Schizosaccharomyces pombe: one gene and its partners. Changing the gene in region 1 together with any one later gene gives a genetic interaction. Each region holds a gene or a part of one and is shown in the gene's direction. Other genes may lie near its edges. The genes, in order: ecl2, ctt1 and hsf1.

What was found.
Region 2: of ecl2 (region 1) and ctt1, changing one suppresses a phenotype caused by changing the other (phenotypic suppression), as found in Schizosaccharomyces pombe (one study listed by BioGRID).
Region 3: of ecl2 (region 1) and hsf1, changing one suppresses a phenotype caused by changing the other (phenotypic suppression), as found in Schizosaccharomyces pombe (one study listed by BioGRID).

Annotation. Positions count from the first base shown.
Region 1 is NC_003423.3:960,781-964,537, reverse strand, and holds ecl2 (protein Ecl2), read left to right. Parts: upstream 1-2,022; coding exon 2,023-2,277; 3' UTR 2,278-3,531; downstream 3,532-3,757. Other genes in the region: SPOM_SPBP35G2.17 (uncharacterized protein), read left to right, coding at 263-583.
Region 2 is NC_003421.2:56,690-60,446, reverse strand, and holds the start of ctt1 (catalase), read left to right. Parts: upstream 1-1,613; 5' UTR 1,614-1,981; coding exon 1,982-3,520; 3' UTR 3,521-3,757. Other genes in the region: cytochrome c oxidase assembly protein Cox14, read left to right, coding at 1-19. UniProt on the Schizosaccharomyces pombe protein: Catalyzes the degradation of hydrogen peroxide (H(2)O(2)) generated by peroxisomal oxidases to water and oxygen, thereby protecting cells from the toxic effects of hydrogen peroxide.
Region 3 is NC_003424.3:5,057,159-5,060,915, forward strand, and holds the start of hsf1 (DNA-binding transcription factor Hsf1), read left to right. Parts: upstream 1-2,096; 5' UTR 2,097-2,316; coding exon 2,317-2,644; exon of another isoform or gene 2,645-2,655; intron 2,656-2,800; exon of another isoform or gene 2,801-2,986; coding exon 2,987-3,757. Other genes in the region: Set3 complex SANT/Myb domain subunit Snt1, read left to right, coding at 1-1,535. UniProt on the Schizosaccharomyces pombe protein: DNA-binding protein that specifically binds heat shock promoter elements (HSE) and activates transcription. Also required for growth at normal temperatures.

The DNA of each region.
Region 1 (3,757 bases):
CATGTGGGATGGGTACGTGAAAATGTGGGATAGATGTACCTATGTGGGATGTTTTGCATACCTACAGAGGAAGCACAGGTGGGATCGGATCCAGTAGCTACTACAGTTGGTGATTGTTACTGTTGGCAGAGTGTTGCATCCTAGCTCTTTGCTGAGGAGTTATTGCTTCGTGGCAAACTACAGAGTAACACGTGCTAGATCCCGCGAACGTTAGATTCAAAGATCCCAAACACTTACAACAAGGTTACATGAGTATAAGTAAATGGTACGTGAATTCTACGTTACCGGTCGAGGCAGAAAGTTGCTTCCGACCGTCTTCAGAATCAAGTCATTCCATGGAATTGTAAGACAATGTGTGAAACAACAACGAGATTTCACTTCTTTTTTAGCTAGTTCTCCCGCTATGGGTGTCGCACAAGGACAACAGGTAAAATTAATTTTGATGCTACTCATTGAGACATGGGAAACAAAACATCAATCATGCCACAGTCATTTCATTTTATTAGAATTCACTCATCTTTTTGTACGCAAGTTTTCGCAAATATTTTTCGAGTTCCGGTTGTTTGCTCACCTACTATCATAAATACAATGTATAATCAATAAACGATTCGCACTTTGTCGTTAGAAATCGAAAAAAAATAAATAAATAAATAAATAGATATATAAAAGTAAAACCATTCTCTAATAGTGAAATATATTTATATCTCTATCATGTGTAAATTTTGTTTTATTATTTTTTCTCTTTTTATTTTTACTTCTCTAGTTCTCTATTATTGAATTCCATTTATTTTATTCTATTTTATTATAATTTAAACTAATTTCTTTTTTTTCTCATTCATTCCCAACCGTCAGTTTAATTTTTCATCCCTGCCCTGCACATCTTTATACATGCTATATTTCGACCCCACCTATCGCCTTAAATCTCTCGTTGAAAAAAAGTCATCATCACCATGGTTCTCCATTTTGCTCCGCTACTGACTGCATCGGTGCCTCTTTTTACAGTCCAAAGATGTGCGATCAGCATCATGTTGTTGTGAGCTGGCGTACAACTGTCTTCTCACATGTATTTTTGGGGTTTAAAGGCGGAGAATATGATGCGAAAGGTCGCTTAAAGTGAGTAGAAGAGTATTCGAGAATTAAAATGAAAAAATAAAAAATGTAGTGTGTTTTTACTATTGTATATGACACCCCGGCTGAGCTAGCGTTTGTGTGTGCATTTAGTATGCGAGTTAGTACACACAGTGTTTTTCTCGGTTTCCCACTTCCGACTCAAATCCCCCACATCAGTCGTTCTGCTTTCTTCTCTTGTGTGTTGTAATCAAATTATGAAGAGGTAACATTGTACGCAACTCACGCAATGTATTAGCATATGCAGTCGGTCGGATGTGCATTATGAGATCAAACACAGTGTATGCTGTTTTCTTAACGTATTTTACCGATAGTATGGTATCTCAGGTCAGATCATCTGGACAGATTGCGTGCGCAGTTTTCAGATGTATATATAGAGCGCAGCAGTCCGACTGAGAGGTCGTAGAAGATTAACATATAGATCAGCAAAGGGTTTTTGACTTATACTCGCTGTTCTTGATTGCTTGAACTAAACGAACTGTCCTTCTTAAGTGTCTCTTGTTTTCCTCGACAAACAGTTTCGCTGTGTGATTGAGTAGAACTCACTTTTCCTCGTTTTCTCCATCCTAACCTCTTTTCGTCTTGTTGAATCACCCGCAGGACTCATCTCTTCCTTGAAATTGAGAAGGATTTGTTTTATTTTATTGTGAAGCTAAGTTCTTTTCTTTCTTCTTCCTCTACTAAATCGGAAATATCTTCCAAACGTCCCGTATATTTCGACTTTGAAATTTCTTTTTAGTCCGCTTTATACGCTCATCCGTTTTATCTGGTTTTCTTCAATAGGATCCAATACTAGCTCGCCTCAGCTTGGCTCATTCATTGGTTTTTCCTCGTTAACAAGTCATTTTAATTTTCTTTTTCTAATTTCTTCATCCTTTTGTATTCGTTAGAGACATGGATTTGGATTATTGCATAATTTGCGGAAAACCCACTACTGGCAACTTGTATTGCTCTCGTGAATGTCATCTGCAGGATTGCCCCGGCTGTGGTTCGACTTCGGAGCAGTGTTCTTACTCTAAGTCGGCTGATCTTCATATGTTATCTTCCCAATATTTAGATCATTTCCGAAGAAGGTCTTCCATGCCTTCCCCATCCACTTCGTCTTCTCTTTTGAACGGTTTTGTCGCTTCCAGACTTGCTGTTCTTTAATTTTACCTTACATTGCATTATTCCAACGACGGTGTCGTTGATATACACACATTCATTGCCAACGGCTCAAAAAAATTATATTTCATTTCTCTCTATCTCGGTTTTTTTTTTCATTTTCTCCTGTTTAATCTGGGAAAATTTATTTACTTATTTCTTTATCTTCCGGTTCCATTTTATTTTTTATTTCTCATGGGTACTTATATTTAATTGTGCCTTTTTTTAAACCTATTTTTATTTTATAATTCTTATAACTTGAAGTTTTTTTTTTCAAATTATTATGATACTTAAAAATTTTTATGCCTTTCTTAAATGATGATCACTACACTAACCGTGTGTGAATAGTTGATCATTGATTTTTGCGGTTCATACCGTGTATGTTTCTTAAATTGATAGCCAAGCATCCTTACATACTATCTTAAATTTCCAAATGATGTTGGTGCGTATATTTTGTTTATGCACTTCATTATTTCATGAGTTGTACAACTTAATTCGTTCACGCAATGTTGATGGTATGTTTCCATTACAATGTTTGTTTGGCTTCATTGGGGTTTTTTATGATTTTCTATGATAACGATATTGTATGAGTGGATTTGGTACTCGGACTTTTTCGTCAATTCGTAATGGCATTTTTTATTTCTTTCGAAATACGATGGATATTTTTTACGATTCTTTTATTCTTATGATATGGACTTTTGTTTCGGTGTGTCACGCAACTATTCTTACTTCTTTTCTGCAATCGCATTTTATTTGCACTGTCTAACTGTATTCGAGATTTGTCATTCGTGCTTTTTACATTATGCTCTGGCATCTGGGACAACTTTATGCTGAGTTCTTCTGAGCGCGTATTTTTAAAATACATAGAAGCTCTAGGCTTTCCCTCACTTCATCATTTCTTTTGCATATCAACATTTTGCATTGTCCCATTGGTTTTGAAGCTTTAGAGTTATTTATGTGTGTCGTGCTTTAAGTTCTCAGTTTTTGGCTCATCGTTTACGTGGGATTTTTGCATTAGACAATTTTTAGAGGTTGCGTATCAAACTATTTTATACCCAAGCACTTTGTTTTCTACGAATCGATACGGACATTTAACTGGCATCAGTACTTTAAAAAACGATAAAATATTTATTTTGATGAAATTTATATTGTTATGATAAAAAAAAAGCATAAAAATTGAAAACGCTTTTAAAAATATTCAATTTTATTAAAGTGCTTTGGTTGCTAGAAGAAAAAATAAAATTAAAAAATTAACGTATATCTACTGTGGTTGACATGTAAACGAATTATTTTGTGCGCAAAGGTAATACATAAATACTGGCTGAATAATAAAAGCGCTTTGTACAGCAGTATTAGGTTGAAAGGTTGTTTTACTTTTCTAGTTAAGTGTTCATCTTTATTCAAATGGATCTATTTGGGATGCCAACTAGAGGGCAGGAATTAGCAAAAATAAATTTAATAGTAAGTGCCCACACCAGGAATCGAA
Region 2 (3,757 bases), on another chromosome or scaffold:
TCAACTCGCCCTCAAGTAAGAAAAAATGGTGCTGAAAAGCTGAAGCTATCAGCATCGTGAATTTTCGAGGACTTTGTGAAGTCTTGGAGAGGGAAATAAAGAATAAAGCGAAATCTAAGTAACTATTTTGTTTACTAAGTTGATGCTGTTTCTGCACTTACTGATGATGACCAAAAAACACTATAGTTCTCTATATAGTGAAATTTAATTCTGCCACCTATAACGTCCCCTCTTTCATGAACAGCAGTTAATGGCATTTATGCTTAAAGTACTTTTACCAACTAAAAATTGAATTCAACATAAAACAAGCTTGTGAATACCACCTTCAATCTTTGTTTGACGAGTCAAATGGTAGTAGTTTATTTAAGCGAATGTAGAGTGAGCGATGGGAAACAACAACGTATGGGTTATATCTTCATCCGCTGAATTAAAACATGCATGGAAATCGTAGTGTTTATATCGAACCTAAAAAATTAGTCAGACCAACGAAAGAAAAAATTCCTTATTATTATTACTTCGTTTTGCTTGAAATTTGTGATGTAGAGGAAAAGAAGGACTTTTATTAAACGTATCATATTCTATTTCACACATTCCTACGGATTGCCTTTACACGCCGTCCATACCTACGGTTTGTCGGTCCTTAGATTGTTTGCATCTCCCATTTTTTTTTTTTTGTAAGCAAGGGACTTGTTTCACTTCCAGCCTTTCTTCGACCTTAGACTTGCACTCCTAAGTATATTGGACGAAAGTATTCTAATTTCAGTAACCTCCTTATCTATTTCACTCTCCTAGTCATACTTCCGATTTGTGCACATTATACCTCTACGGGAAGCTGTGCACAATGAATCCACTTTCTCAGTTCAGTTAATATAGAATAGAAAAAATTTATAATTTAAGAAATATACAATGCGCCCATAAAACACGTTTCCAAACTAATCGATCATAAAATTACCATAACTTCCTTTTCTCACTCACCCATTTCCCGATCTTAGCACATCAACCCGACATCATTTGAAATTAAACCATACTTTTGTGAAATCAATTCTTCAAGCTAAACAAACCGCATGAATACAGGCCAAAATCTACATGCTTGCATATCCTATTTTACCATACATCTGTTTTATTTACTTCCCCAGGAAACACACTATACTCTGCTAATCTACCAAAAACACTGGTTCCAAAGGGTGCATGTCCAGCACAAGTTTGCGACTGAAAAGTCTAGCTTTTAATTTTATTAAGCATCTTTCTCCTCTATATCGACTTGCAGTAGAATTTCATGTCAGCGTCTGTGTCTAGAAACGCTGGTTTTACTAATCGCTAACGATGGGATTTGCCCGCTTACGTTAGCGATGGTGTTGGGAGATTTGATATGGCCAAGTAACGGTATGAGCGCATCGTAAACATTGGCTGAAGGGTGGATTTTGGCGACTACGATAGGCTGTAGAAGAAGTTAATTTGTCATTGTAGCTTCGCTAATAATGATGCTCTTTGGCTCACTAAGCCAATGGAATCTCGGCCATTTGCGTTGGTAAGAGTTTTCCTATTGTGCAAATATGACGTTGGTAATTCTACACCAGACAATATATATAGAGGCAATTGCAAGTTGCTTGAATATACAGCTTTTCACGTAAAAGTAATAGCTTTTGAATAGAAGAATACTATAAGTTCTTCTTTGTGTGTGTGTGATTGTAATTCCCTTGTTCGAATATCGAATTATAGAAATTGTGGTTGTGTCTTGAGTGATTTAGTTAAAGACTCGACACTAATTTTTTAAAAAAACACAATTTTTTGACTGTCTTTTTTTTTCCCCTCCTAACTCTTCAAAGTGTCGGCTTTTCGCATCTTTGAACGTTACTGTCTTGGTAGACAAGCTAGTTTAAAATCATTTGCTCGTCGTTCAACTAATTCCAAGATTAACAATAATAAGCTACTCTTTAACAGATTTGCATCTTCTCAGTCTAAGGATTCAAACATCAGCGAAATGAACTCGAAAGACTCAAATACCGTCCCTGTTTACACCACCAACACCGGTTGTCCCATTTTTAACCCTATGGCTGCGGCTCGTGTGGGTAAGGGAGGTCCTGTCTTACTTCAAGATTCCCATTTAATCGACGTCTTTCAACACTTTGATCGCGAGCGTATTCCTGAACGTGTCGTCCATGCAAAGGGTTCCGGTGCTTTTGGTGAATTCGAATGCACCGACGACATTACCAAGTATACCAAACATACCATGTTTTCTAAGGTTGGTAAGAAAACCCCTATGGTTGCTCGTTTCTCCACCGTCGGTGGTGAAAGGGGTACTCCTGATACTGCTCGTGATCCTCGTGGGTTCGCATTAAAGTTCTACACCGATGAAGGTATTTTCGATATGGTTGGAAACAATACCCCTGTCTTCTTCCTTCGTGATCCCGCTAAATTCCCTCTCTTCATCCATACTCAGAAGCGTAACCCTCAAAATGATATGAAGGATGCTACTATGTTTTGGGATTACCTTTCTCAAAACGCAGAGTCCATCCATCAAGTTATGATTCTTTTCTCTGACTTGGGTGGTACCCCTTATAGCTACCGTTTCATGGATGGCTTTTCCAGTCATACCTACAAATTTGTTAATGATAAGGGTGAATTCTACTATTGCAAATGGCATTTCATTACTAATCAAGGAACCAAGGGTTTAACAAATGAAGAAGCCGCTGCATTGGATGGATCCAATCCCGACCATGCTCGTCAAGATCTTTTCGAAGCTATTGAACGTGGTGATTACCCCAGTTGGACGCTTTACGTTCAAGTTATGACCCCTCAGGAGGCTGAAAAATATCGCTACAACATTTTCGATCTTACTAAGGTCTGGCCTCATAAGGACGTACCAATGCAAAGGGTTGGACGCTTTACCTTGAATCAGAATCCTACCAATTTCTTTGCAGATATCGAGCAGGCTGGGTTCTCTCCTTCTCATATGGTTCCTGGTATTGAAGTCTCAGCGGATCCTGTTTTGCAAGTACGTACATTTTCCTATCCTGATACCCACCGCCATCGTTTGGGTGCTAATTTCGAGCAAATTCCCGTCAATTCTCCTAAGTGTCCTGTCTTTAACTATTCTCGTGACGGCCCTATGAATGTCAATGGAAACCAAGGAAATTGGCCAAACTATCCATCCTCAATCCGACCACTTGCTAAAGTTCAATATGAGCCTGACGAAGGTCACGAAAAGTGGGTAGGTCAAGTTACTTACCATATGGACGAAATTACCGACGTTGATTTTGAGCAACCTAGAGCGTTTTGGCAAAATGTTTTGGGCAAGAAACCTGGACAGCAAGATAACTTTGTTAAGAACGTTGCCGGTCACTTGTCTGGTGCTATATCTCCTGTACGTGAACGCCAATACGGTGTATTTACTCGTGTTGATTCAGAGCTTGGTCGCCGTATTCGTGAGGCTACTGAAGCTGAAGTGAAGAAGATGGAAGAAAAAGCCCCCAAGCCAATTAACAAGGGCGAACCCCATATGTTCCAAGGAAGCTCATAATGCGCTTATGCGAAATTAGTTTGTAAAAAATTTGAGTCAGCTAGGTTTATCGGATGACTACTATTTTATTCTTTGAATGCGAGACATGTGTAATGCCGTTAGAAATTTATTTAATTTGATAAATGTTAATTAGGAAATATATATTTTAACCTCAATAAGCACATAACATTGATAAGAAAGCAAACAATCTTGACATATTAGGTTAACATATAAATAAGGTCTAAGGCTTATTGTGTT
Region 3 (3,757 bases), on another chromosome or scaffold:
TAGACAAAACTAAGAATGCTAAAAAATCGGAACCGTTTATCAAACGAAGTACACGTAAAGTGATGAGCAACTTTACAGCTGGTGATATAGTTCGTTCCGAAGAAGAGTTTTTGGAGATTTTAGCAAAGCTCGAGCAGCAAGAAAAAGAAGCAAGCAATGTATCTGAGGCCTCTCGAATTGCTACTATTCCTCCTATGATACTTTCAGAAGAAGAAGTGAAAAGTCAATACTTTAATGATCAGAGCCGGTTAGTAACAGATTGTCCTAAATTCTATCACTTTCAAAGTATGCCTGACATATGGAATGAAGAACAGCATTCCATTTTCGTTCAGCAATTTATTTTACATGGAAAAAAATTTGGTAAAATCGCAGAGGCAGTGCCAGGAAAAAACTCTAAAGAATGTGTATTACATTATTATCTGACAAAAAGGACAACTGACTATCGAGCTTTGGTAGCATCTGCAACAAAAACTAAGGGTCGTCGGCGAAAAAAGCTCCTTCCTTCTCAAAGAGGTGGAAAGAAAAAGTCCAAGGGTTCTGCTCTTATGGTTGATATTGAAGCTGCGGATATTAATAAAACGGAAGAGAATATCAATAATCAATTTCAAGAAGCTTCCGTCACTGCTGATAATATGAATACTTGGGATAATACGCCCTCTGTTGAAAATGTTGAATCTGCGAATGAGAATGTTAATAATCACAATGCTGATGAACAAATGGATGAAAAAATAAAGTCTTTGGTTGAAGGGAATAGTGCTTATGAAATTGAAAAAGGAGCTCAAGAGCCTGACCCTATGTCTATTGATATGACCGATAAGAGCGAGACTGTGTCTGGTTTCAAACATGATGTTGACGTTTATGATACAGCTGAAAATGAAGGGAATAACACATTACTGCAAATCAAAGAATCCGTTCATGAGAAAACGCCGACACAGGACGAGCCTATGGATATTAGCCAGGATACCATAAAGCAGGAGGATTACTATGAACCAAAGCTTGAACAACATTCTTCTTCCAAGCGTAACAGTATTTCAACTAGGAAGGAGGAGGATGCAGCTTCGGCTCTAGCGAACCTGTCTGCCGTTGGTCGTTCCATATCCGCCGTTGATGAGTCTGCTCACCAAGGGCACTTGCCTGGTTGGGATGAAAAAGAAGAAGCGTTAATATTTTCGTTGGCCCAAGGTATGAATCCAATGAAAATGCCTCTTACTCCAAGAAGAGCCTCCACTGGTCCTCGGCCACGCCCTACTTTCCAATTGACCGAAATTGATTCTCCAAATCGCCGTCGAGCTAGTGATTGCATTACACCGTCAATATCAAAGATACTGAAAATGGTGTCTGAAGATGCAAAAAGTCAACGCATAGACGAGTTATCAGTCGAGGATCAAGAGCATACAACACATTCATCTCATACGACATCAGACATAAACGCATTTCCGAATAGTCAATCATTTCCACGAGCATCAATTCATACATTAGCAGCATTGGGCGAAGACATTGTTGAACGCCAGTCCAAAAACGATAAAATTGTATGAGTTGTGACGTTTAGTGTTATTTAATGGCGTTATTTACCATTTGTTGTTATATGAAGGGGTTTTGTTTTCTAATTCGCAAATTGGTACCTCCTTACGTGATGCCTTACTCGACTTATCTCGAATTCTACTTTAATCCTTTTTTTTTTTTCTTTTGTATATATTTTCTATTACTTTTAATGTGAGAGTTCTATATGTGTCGGGTTATGATGGTGAGTTTTTATTAAAAAAGTAAAAACTCTATAATAACTTGACTGCCGATCGTTTACGAAATCTATCAAGAGACGAATTTTTTCAATCAATAAATCTTCATGTGAAATCTAGTTATTAGTCTCGGCGACGGAAACGCTTAATTAGTAGCGTTAGTAAGTTAATCTGTAATTGACACATAACAATTTATTCGATTTAATAATTTTTTGCATTTTTTGTTGCATGCAAAACCGACACCAAAAATAAATACCGAGTGGCTAAATGACCTCACTAAACAAATTAGCGATATACCCCGGTGAATGATATATGGTGTATTGTAATCATTCGGTAGTGGATTATTGCAAAATATAACTTGACATCAACCAACGACACCCGCTTCAAATTTCGGTGAGAGCTTGTTAAAGCTACTGAGAAAGTATACATTATTTAAGAATATCTTGATTGAACCTTGTGAAATACGAACTGCATATTCTTCCCTGGTGGTTGAGAAGAAGGTACTGAGAATTCCTTTAAATCAGTAACGGACATATATATTTTTGTTAAATTAACGGCACCCATAATAAATTGATTTTTAATGATTCAGACTGCATCGACAATTTCAAGCAATGGCGGAACGAATCAGGGAATGGAGTCCAGCAGCGCAAATTCACCGGAGATGAATGGGACACAAAATTCGATGTCCGTAGGGATGTCGGGCTCAGGTTCTTCACAAAATAGGAAAATCACACAGTTTAGTAATAAACTGTACAATATGGTGAACGACTCGTCGACAGATTCCTTAATTCGATGGAGCGACCGGGGTGATTCGTTTTTGGTTATAGGGCATGAAGATTTTGCTAAGCTGGTTCTTCCACGGTATTTCAAGCACAATAATTTTTCTAGTTTTGTTCGGCAATTAAACAGTAAGTGTCTTTAAAAAGTGAAGGTGTAACAAAAAGTCGAAGACAAGCTTTTACACAATTAATTTTTTTTATTATGAATGTGTCCCCCTACTTGTCTGCATTTATTCGAAGATATATCGGGCTTTGGAAAACTTTTGGATCAGTAAGCTTAACAACGACTATCTCTTTCGATTGTTCTTCCGTTCCACTTTTCGACGATATGAAAAATATTGCAATACTTCGGAATTATTGATTATTTATCTAATTAGTCTTTGTCAAGCCCTTTTCTATCTTTTCTTGTCCTTCGCATCTCATTTTATTACATTCATTTTTTTTTTTTTTTGGTTTACTAACTTTTTACAGTGTACGGCTTTCATAAAGTCCCTCATATACAGCAAGGTGTTTTACAATCCGATAGTCCCAACGAGCTTCTCGAGTTTGCAAATCCAAACTTTCAACGTGACCAACCTGAATTACTATGCCTAGTAACGCGAAAAAAGGCCGGTAGCCAACCCGTTGAAGAATCAAATACCAGTTTAGACATGTCTACGATATCCTCTGAGCTACAGAATATTCGCATCCAGCAGATGAATTTGTCGAACGAACTCAGTAGGATCCAAGTCGATAACGCAGCTCTTTGGCAGGAAAATATGGAAAATCGCGAGAGACAACGTCGCCATCAAGAGACGATTGATAAGATCCTTCGTTTTCTTGCCAGTGTATATTTGGATGGTAAACAGAAGCCACCTAGCAAAGTTATGCCCAAAAGTCGTCGGCTCTTATTAGAAGCTAAATATCCTACGGTTTCACCTACGAATGAACCGTCTGCGCATTCAAGGCCTTCACCTCAAGGTACTACTGCTAATTCTAGTAGTGCTAGTATCTCCTCTTTACACAATACGACTCCTGATGGAGAGGGCAAATACAGATCCGTTCAAAATGGACGAGCTTTAAATTATGTTTCTTCTTTTAATTCGGATTCGCATTCACCGAAGGATTATATTTCTCAAAGCTATACGAATGAGCCAGGACTTAAAAAGGAATCTGCCGATTCCTTTAACAATTCGATTGACTCATACATTTCTCCCAATCAATCACCTAATACGGATGTACCCTCATTAAATCGAGATGATA